Daphnia pulex: one gene and its partner. The protein of the gene in region 1 purifies or fractionates together with the protein of each later gene. This does not show direct contact. Links are inferred from orthologs where the notes say so. Each region holds a gene or a part of one and is shown in the gene's direction. Other genes may lie near its edges.

The links. The genes of interacting proteins can lie anywhere in the genome.
Region 2: the proteins of intraflagellar transport protein 81 homolog (region 1) and intraflagellar transport protein 88 homolog fractionate together in Homo sapiens (co-fractionation; 3 studies listed by BioGRID and IntAct, with this or other methods). This does not show direct contact. The link is inferred for Daphnia pulex from reciprocal best matches to the Homo sapiens genes IFT81 and IFT88.

Annotation. Positions count from the first base shown.
Region 1 is NC_060027.1:3,610,346-3,614,550, reverse strand, and holds the start of intraflagellar transport protein 81 homolog, read left to right. Parts: upstream 1-1,405; 5' UTR 1,406-1,474; coding exon 1,475-1,585; intron 1,586-1,674; coding exon 1,675-1,808; intron 1,809-1,881; coding exon 1,882-2,062; intron 2,063-2,140; coding exon 2,141-2,296; intron 2,297-2,369; coding exon 2,370-2,729; intron 2,730-2,797; coding exon 2,798-2,983; intron 2,984-3,042; coding exon 3,043-3,436; intron 3,437-3,503; coding exon 3,504-3,619; intron 3,620-3,694; coding exon 3,695-3,990; intron 3,991-4,065; coding exon 4,066-4,162; 3' UTR 4,163-4,205. Other genes in the region: mitochondrial import inner membrane translocase subunit Tim29-like, read right to left, coding at 31-43. UniProt on the Homo sapiens protein: Component of the intraflagellar transport (IFT) complex B: together with IFT74, forms a tubulin-binding module that specifically mediates transport of tubulin within the cilium. Binds tubulin via its CH (calponin-homology)-like region.
Region 2 is NC_060019.1:9,737,210-9,741,888, forward strand, and holds the start of intraflagellar transport protein 88 homolog, read left to right. Parts: upstream 1-1,758; 5' UTR 1,759-2,124; intron 2,125-2,208; 5' UTR 2,209-2,236; coding exon 2,237-2,383; intron 2,384-2,504; coding exon 2,505-2,686; intron 2,687-2,747; coding exon 2,748-2,940; intron 2,941-3,025; coding exon 3,026-3,243; intron 3,244-3,328; coding exon 3,329-3,438; intron 3,439-3,513; coding exon 3,514-3,632; intron 3,633-3,744; coding exon 3,745-3,902; intron 3,903-3,971; coding exon 3,972-4,158; intron 4,159-4,254; coding exon 4,255-4,441; intron 4,442-4,517; coding exon 4,518-4,665; intron 4,666-4,679. UniProt on the Homo sapiens protein: Positively regulates primary cilium biogenesis. Also involved in autophagy since it is required for trafficking of ATG16L and the expansion of the autophagic compartment.

The DNA of each region.
Region 1 (4,205 bases):
AATGCCGAAGTCATGTTTCTCAAGTCTTACTCCACTGATCCATCTTGGATACTTTTTCTTCGACGGGTGTCGGTGGAACTGGCACTGGATTTGCCGTTGTTGATGTTGTGGACGAAAATTTTGTTTTTCCTCCATGTTTTCGACCAAAAATTCTTCGTGAAAATCGAAACATTTTCTTTCTGGAAGAGTAAATCGTACGAGTCGAGTCTCGACCAAGTGGGATTTTGAAGCAGACGAATTTCACGTGTTTATAAATTTCTGGGTTTCAACAACATTATTGGAATGGTGTTGCCTAAACCTAAACTATTTCCTGCTATCGCAATTTCCGAGCTTTTGAAATTAAGAGCGAAGAAGATCGTTGGCTTGAAAGTTTAAAATTGGCCTTCAAAGCCACAAGGAAAGGAATTCTTTGATTTCCCTTCTTCCTCCCTCTATATTTCAATTCACAGGGAAAGTGAGTTATTTGGTGAGAATGAGGAACATTACATTCAGTTGGAGATTAACGATCATATCTGAAGGTTGTAGAACTAACTACTGATAAGATTCAATAAGTTAAAGTCCTGAGTTAAAATGACGAGAAAAGGAGAAAAGAAAATTAAGAGGAGTACTTCTGGAGAAAGGCCAGTCGTTCGGTCAAATTTTTGGAAAATTCCAGTCATCCTGTTAATTTTAACTTTCATGGCAGTTATCGTTTGTCTTGCTCAGTATTACACATCATCATCCGCTCCAATGGAGTGTTATCATTGCAGCTGGATCTCGCGTGCAGACGGACCGTCTCTTGTTGACGATCCTTGTGGACAGGATCAAAGATTCAGGCCAAATAACGCACACGTCAAAACCTGCTCACCAGGCCAGGGCTATTGCGGAACGCTTCACATAATCTTTTCTTACATGAATTCCGGCCGCATCAAACAATTCGAATTCGCCTTCATTCGTGACTGTTTCTCCGAGTATCCATTGCCTTACGTGATGCAGCTCGACCATCGAAATCACACATACTACGGGAGCAGAGAAGGCAACGTCTATCCTAATGTATCCGGTATGTCGCTGAACATGACGGTCGTCGGCCAGCAGTGCGGATTTTGGAACAAATGTAACTCCAATGTTCCCAGGACTGGATTAGGATGGGCATTTCTTGATTCCATCAACGTTTTACATCAGGCGAAACAAAAGGGCTTAAGCGCTTGGCATGCTTTGGTCGAGTTTGTTCAATCTGGAAATGGCGCTGCAAATTCTAGTTTACCCTTTCTTGGATAATTTGTATGGCATCATTTTATTGCTGCAAAGTCCACAATAAAATTTAATTTGAAATTAGTAGTCGGAAATGGTTTTGTTTACTTTAGTGTGTCAATATTTTGGACTTTTTACGTTGCCATGGTTACGCAACAATAAAAACAAACAGGACACGTCAAACACGTCGTTGCAAATCACACGTACTTCTTCTCAGTGATTTCAATCAAAAAGGCTTTGTAGAATGACGCAGCAGCTAGTCAAAATCATTGTGATCGAACTAAACCAACCACCTTTTAATTTAAATCTAACTAACATCACTTTCAACGCCCTTCACCCTCCTCAGCTGTTACAGGTAAAATTCGTTCAGACCACTACAAGTAAAATTGAAAGTATAATCTAAATCTCTTTAAAAAACCCAAATTATATACGGGAATTCAATAGCTTTTAAGCGATGTCTTGTGCGAAATTGAATCGAAAACTCGGGTCGATATCAACGACGAGCCAGTCGATGCGTTGGCTTTGCGTTTACTGACCTCGTTACAAATTTTCAAATTCAAACCTGAAACGGAAGATCCGTAAGTTTATTTTGAGAGTCTACAAACGGGAATCACTGATACACATGTTTTTTTTTTTTTACTAAATTCATAGAAATGAATTCCGTGAAGGTTTGATCGCTGGTAGACCGGAAACCATCAACCCGATACTTAACTGGCTACTGCAGCGTAGGGAGGACCTGAAGAAACGAGCTTACTTGTCACGCTACTTGGTCAAGATTGATATCGCGCCTGAAATGCGGTCAGACAGTGATGTTATTGATCTTTATGAACAGGTAAGGAGTAATTATTAGGAAATTCTATTGAAAAATAAAACACCATTTTAAAATCTATACTACACTGGTTGATTACAGTACGAATTCCTGATTGAAGAGTTTAAACAGCGACACAAACAATTCGACACCAGCCAAGCTGTAAATGACACTGTATCCGATCTAAGAAAAGATCTCCAATCAATGGAAGATGACAGAGAAGTTTTGATCCGTCGAATTGAACGCACACAACGCAAAGTGAGCATATTTTTTCCAGCAGCGGGGTTTCCTTTATTATTCCTTATTTTAACTTTATTTCACGTACTGCAAGGTGGAGGGTGTGGCGAATTATAACCAACTACTTTCCATGGCGAAAAAGCTGCGCGCCGAGAAAGAGAAGAGCCGCGAGTTTCAAACGCAGAAAGACGACCAAAAGAGTTACCTCAGCCACTTGGAAGCTCGTCGCCAACGTCTAACTCATCAACTGATGGACATGCGTCAAAGTAAAGTCAACGCGAGTGGGCAGAGTTTGATACAGCGTGCTGAAGACGCCATTCGAGTCAATCAATACATGATCAACGAAAAGCTAACTAAGGAAACCCAGCAAATAACAGCTAGCATAGCTTTGATGGAGAAAGTCTTAGCGCCGCCCAATCCAACTTCAGCGGATCTTCAACTTGTCGTCCAGAAGGTGAAAACAGTTAAAAGTGAATGCCTTGGCGGCTAGTTTGATTTGAACATTTTGTTGTCGTTATCTAGAGCGATGAACTTCGTAGTCAAATTGCTCAGCTAACGGAGAAAAGAGCCTTGCAGAACGATCCGATAGAAGACGGTATGGCGCTTTACAGACAACAGTCGCTTATCATGTCCCGGAAAAAAGAAGCCTGCGCTGAGAGATTAAATCACGTCATTCAGGAAATGACGGCACTGGAGGCCCAACTTCAGGTTTAAATTGAAAAACACGATTTTAAACATCGAAGATAATCAATGTCAATATCATTTAGGCCAAAAAACAACAATTGGGTGAAAATTCCGACGCATTACTAACTGGTGAGCAATTCAAGGCTTATGTTAGCGATTTGCGCGTCAAAAGTAACGTGTACAAACAGCGACGAGCCGAGTTGAATGACCTTAAAGCCGAATACGGCATTCTGAGCCGGACACTGGAAATTCTCAGGGCTCAGGAAGGAGCACTGAGCGACAGTCTCGACCGTATCGAAACGCAACAAGGTGTCAGAGGATTCCGCGAAACGAGGGATCTTCTCGAGCGAATTTCGGACGAAAAGGCCAACACAGACGAAGAGAAAGGCCGTACTCTAGAAGAAATGTCTAATCTCGTCCGCCTTCTGAATTCTAAGATCAACGACAAGAAGGTCGCTCTCGCTCCACTTCTCCGAGGTCTGTCCTTTGCGTTCAAATCAATTAAAATGGTACTAATCACAGCTCAAAATTTTGTTAAAAACAGAATTACGACCTCTAAGACAAACTTACCAAGAAACATTGCCCGAATACGAAGCTAAGAAAAAAGAATATGACGCACAGGTTCAGCTAATCGAGGATACCATCTCGTCGATAGTAAACGTAAACCGTTTGATTTTGGTCCGGTTGGCATGTCATGTTAGACTCGGTAAGTCAATGAAATATTTGTAACGACAGGTGAAAAGCGGTTTGGAGAATGAGATTGTCACGCTAGAAGAACGATGCCGTCAGCTGGAAGCTAACCTAACGAAAAATGAAAAATACCTACAGAGGGCCACCGACGAGATGAAACTGTACGTCAGCGGCGTTCAACAGCAACAGACTGAACGCGGGAAATCCGTTCGGGATCAACTTCAGCATAAAATTGCGGAACAGGAGAAGCTCAACGCTCAACTGCGTCAAGATCAGAAACAGCTTAGAGATAACCTTCCGCAAATGGAGCAGCAGATCAAATACTGGGAGAAAATAGAAAAGTATAAATTAAGTTTGTTTGCCTTTCTTATATTTTAGTTAAAGTCATAATTAAAATGATTGACTTTGACTTCTAGGATATTCCGAGTCAAAATGCTTTGCCTGGAGAAAAATAAATTACAGGAAGGAACAGTCCGGCGTGAACGGGGAAGAGAAACGTTGGTTCTACAATGATGAACACAAAGTTGAAGCAATAGCACTTAAATTACATGAATGT
Region 2 (4,679 bases), on another chromosome or scaffold:
CGGCGGGCGTTGGTTAGAGGTTATTTAGGGAAACGGGGCCACAGAAAAGAAGGGAGCCCAGAAATGCACTTGCAATCTAATCTAACATCTACACAATTTATCAGTCTCTCGTCAGCTTTCACCAATGGATGAAGTCGGGTCCAGTGGATGATCAGTAGCGAAGAGTTACCCTGTAAGCAGAATGAACATTTATTTGGATGACAATAATTTTAAATAAGATTTTAGCGACAGCAAGCAATACCTCAATTAAGAGGGTCCGTTTAAGGAAGTAAAAAGGGAGATTCACAGGTAGCAGTTAACGGGTTTTCAAACATGGGACCTTGTTGACTGTGTAGTCGTCGTCCTTCTTCAAACGATATGACTTCTCATAAGGTCTGGTATGCAAATTTAGAGAGATGTAGTTTAGACCCTGCAAATATATAAAAAAAAGAAAGGCATCTTGTTTATAATTTCTTGTTAATGTGCTTGACGTCTAAAATGATCTAAAAGATTAATTTAACAGTTATTAGTATACACTTCACATAGTCGCTTTAATAGATGCAAATTAATACTTTTAACACTCACAAGTGAACAACACACTTTAATTAGCTTCAGCCTAGACTGACACATTGAGAACACTTCAGGATGACATCACCGCTACAGACTGCTTGCAGCAGCTGCAGCTCAACTTGAACTCCTTTTTCACCGGGTGGTTGCAATGAAACCATCTGCATGACAGCAATGAAGCTCAGACTTTGTTGTGATCTCAAATTATTTGATAGACAAGCAAATGGATCTCCCACCTGAACATAAACTAATAAAATATATTGCATTATAGCAGGGAAATTAATCAACAAATTTAAATTTACAGTGTACAAGAATGCAATTAGAACCAATAGCTAAATTATGTTGTAATTGTTATTAATTAAAAACAGTTAAACTTACCTCAAAATCCTAATCTAAATTTGTTTTGCTTTTTGGAAGTAGCTTAAGAGGTGTATTGTGTAACTTAGGAGCAGCGAAGTTTCCCAAGAGGATTCTATCTAGTAGGGCATTTAGCCCAGACCCAGACAAAGCTGTCGCATTCCTATGCTGCTCACTAATCATCAATGGCCATCGAACCTAATTAGAAGAAAGAAAGATTAATCACAGGTAAGGCTCAGTTCAGAATGACAGGACTAAAGCTAAAAGGGTGATACGTAGAGGTAGCTCGACGATATTTCGTCAACAATCTGGAATCACTAACAGTAACAGATGAGACACAAAAGCGAATGTCATGCTGCCTTCCTCTCATTGTAGAAGCAATGGGGGGATTTCGTCTGTTGTGATGTGCTGTGATGCTGCGGTGGTGAATTTTTCATTTTTGGGTGAAGACGAGATACAAATTGAAAGGGGAGAATATTATGTGAGTATCAAAGTCTTTGATTGTTAGTTATTCTTGCAATTGAGTGTCAACCAGGGTGTAGAGCGGACATTTTTTTCATGTTACTGTTAAACGTTTCTTTTTTGTGGCGCTAATAACATAACTTACAGATAATCTGTGATGATAGAGGTAATGGATAATAGATAATAAGATGATGGAGAATTCCTACAGCGTCGCTTCACCAATATCACCATAGTCTCTATCAGTCTATCACTCTGCCAAAGTGCCCCGATCACTCACTAAGCGGCGCCTTATTCGACTTACCCACCCACCCCCCGACTGCTCGTCGTTTTCTATCAGGGAAATAACAGCAACGTTGTATTTTAGAAAAACATTGTCTGCTAGGGCTAGGGCGGCTAGCTCACCTAGCTGACAAAGACAAACAGCAGTTGACTGTTGTCATTTAGCAATGGAATGTCGTTATTTTTTGGAGTTCATTTTCTTATCTGGATAAAAAATGAATGGAGGAATACAGCTGCAAGGCTGAAAAATTTTCCAAGATGCCCAATCCTTTTAGAATCATTACTACTAGTCTACTACTACCTCTGATAGGAATTCAGAAGCATAAGCGAGCATAAGTTGCACCGGTGGTTAAAATCATATCAACCTGTTTTCAACAATGGGTTAGGAGAAATTGTAACAAGTTTAATTACATTTCATAGCTGAGAATATTGCTAATATGGCTGTCATCATCAAAGAAGCTATTTCTGGCTGCAATTTGGGTACTGTCAGATTGTTCAACAATGGAATGAGTTACACAGTTGCTATGGTGATTGTTTGTTTTGACCTTACATATTACTACTTAGAAGTGATCATATCTTTCAGTGATATAATATGGATAAGTATAACATGGAAACGTATGATGAAGATGATCTTTATTCTGGATTCAATGAATTTCATCCTACACTGAACACATCTAGCCTCATTCAAGACTCCCTATCTAGAGATGTTAAAAACCAGCAGTCAATGCTACAGATGCAGGTAATGTTAACAAGACTATGTAAAATGTCTCAGCGGTTTTATTCATTTGTTTAGTGGTACATTAATAAGATTTCCAAATATCAATTTTCATTTATTTATCATCAATTGCACTTGATATTAGCAATCAAGAGTGGTTACAGCATCTCGTGGTGGGGTTCCAACTGCAGTTGCCAGACCAGTAACTGCAATTCGTGGAGCAGGATATACTTCATCAAGATTGGCAACAGCCAGTCAGGTCTACGATCCTTTGAATCAATCTGGCAGGGTTACAACACCATTTTCAGAACCTAAAGCTGTTGATCCGTATGTAGCTTTTGTTGTCAACCCAAACTTATTACACAAAATTCATTATAATCTTACACAGGCCAGAAAAGCAGATGAAAATGCTGGAAAGTAGCATACAACAAATTATAGAAGAATCAATTGTGGCTCACAGTAAAGAGGAATTTAGAGTGGCACTAGACAAGGCCAAAGAAGCGGTCAATAAAGAACGAAGTCTTATACGTCAAAAGGAGCAATCCGGCATGGGGGAATCGAATAGCGACCTCGCTTTCATGGTAATTACGATCTGCGCCTTGATTTGCTTTAAAAAATTTGCTATTCCATGTTTTTTACTAATACGAAGAATTTTCGAATAAACAGGTGCTGTTCAACCTAGCGAATCAGTACGTCGGTAACGGACTGTTTTCAGAAGCCATGTCGTCCTATCAGCAGCTAATTAAAAATCGTTCTTTCGCCAACATCGGTCGACTGCGACTCAATACCGCCAATTTACATTTTCGTCTGGGACAGTACGCGCTCTCACTCAAGCAGTATCGAATGGCTTTAGATCAAGTTCCGGCTCACTTTACAACATTAAGGTAGTGTAAATGGCTGTAATAACATTTTCATTATTTGTTTTAGAACTAATTCTCGATTACTCTTGCTAAACGAATTCCTTATTAGGACGAAAATAATGCAGAACATTGGCTTGCTGTTTATCAAAATGGGGCAGTACAACGACGCCTGTACGAGCTTCGAATTTGTTATGCAAGAAAAGCCCGACTTCAAAACTGGTAAGTCAATTTCAAATTGGTTTAAATTTATTGCTTTACCCTTTTTCCTGATGCCAAAACGTCAAACATTCAAAGGTTTACACATGGTGCTCAGCTACTACGCCTTGGCAGATCGGGAAAATATGCGCAAATCGTTCCTTCGCTTGCTGGACGTTCGTGCCGAGTCGGACGATTTTGATAAACTGGTGCCGGAGGTTAATAAGATGCTCTGCCTCATTCTCAATTTGAATAATCTCGTGTGCTCAGTTCTGTTGTTTTGTTTATTTTTCTTCTTCCCCCTCTCCTGGATAAATGATGTTTGCACAGGGTGACGCCCAGTGGAATTCGTTGCGTGAAGCGTTGAATAACGATTCGTTACACCGTTTGGAGCGTCAGGCCAAATTTGAAGGTGAAAGGTGCATATTGATGGCCGCCAAGTTAATCTCGCCTGTGATCGAAGATACTTTTAGTGTTGGCTACCAGTGGTAAGTTGTATAATTTATTCAAATCCGTCGTGGGGGGATGTTTGATAAATAACAATGATTTATGTCCAGGTGCGTCGAGGCCATCAAAGAGTCAACCCACAATCATCTGGCAGACGATTTGGAGATCAATAAAGCCGTACTCTTTCTACGCCAAAAGGACGTGGCCCTGGCTACCGAAACGCTGAGGAGCTTTGAAAAACGATCCAGCAGAATGGCTACCAACGCAGCTGTCAACCTGTCGACAATTTATTACCTAGTACGTTCAACGCCTACTGCATAAATTTACACAATCGTAAACTAATTCCGTTTTTTTCTTTTCTTTTTCTATTTTTTTACTAACGATATGATTCAGCAAGGTGACATAGCCAGCGCTGAAAAATACGCCGAAGTGGCTAGAGATTCGGATCCTTACAATGCGGCCGCCTTCGTCTGCTTAGGCAATTGTTCACTCCGCCGAGCGGATTACAATAAAGCTCGCGATTTTTTCCTTTTCGCTTTGGATAATGACGCTGCTTGTGTGGAAGCCCTGTACAATCTCGGTAAAGAAAAAATGACGCATTCAATTCAATCTGGTCCGTTTTCCTAAAGAATGGGTATGACAATTTGAACGTGCAGGTCTGACGTACAGATCAACAAACCAACTTGAAAAAAGCCTGGAACAATTTGTCAAACTGCAGATGGTCCTGCGTCATCAGCCCGAAGTTCTTTTCCAGGTCGCCAGTCTCAACGAGGAGCTCGGCAACGACGAACAAGCGATTGAATGGTGGACATTATTTT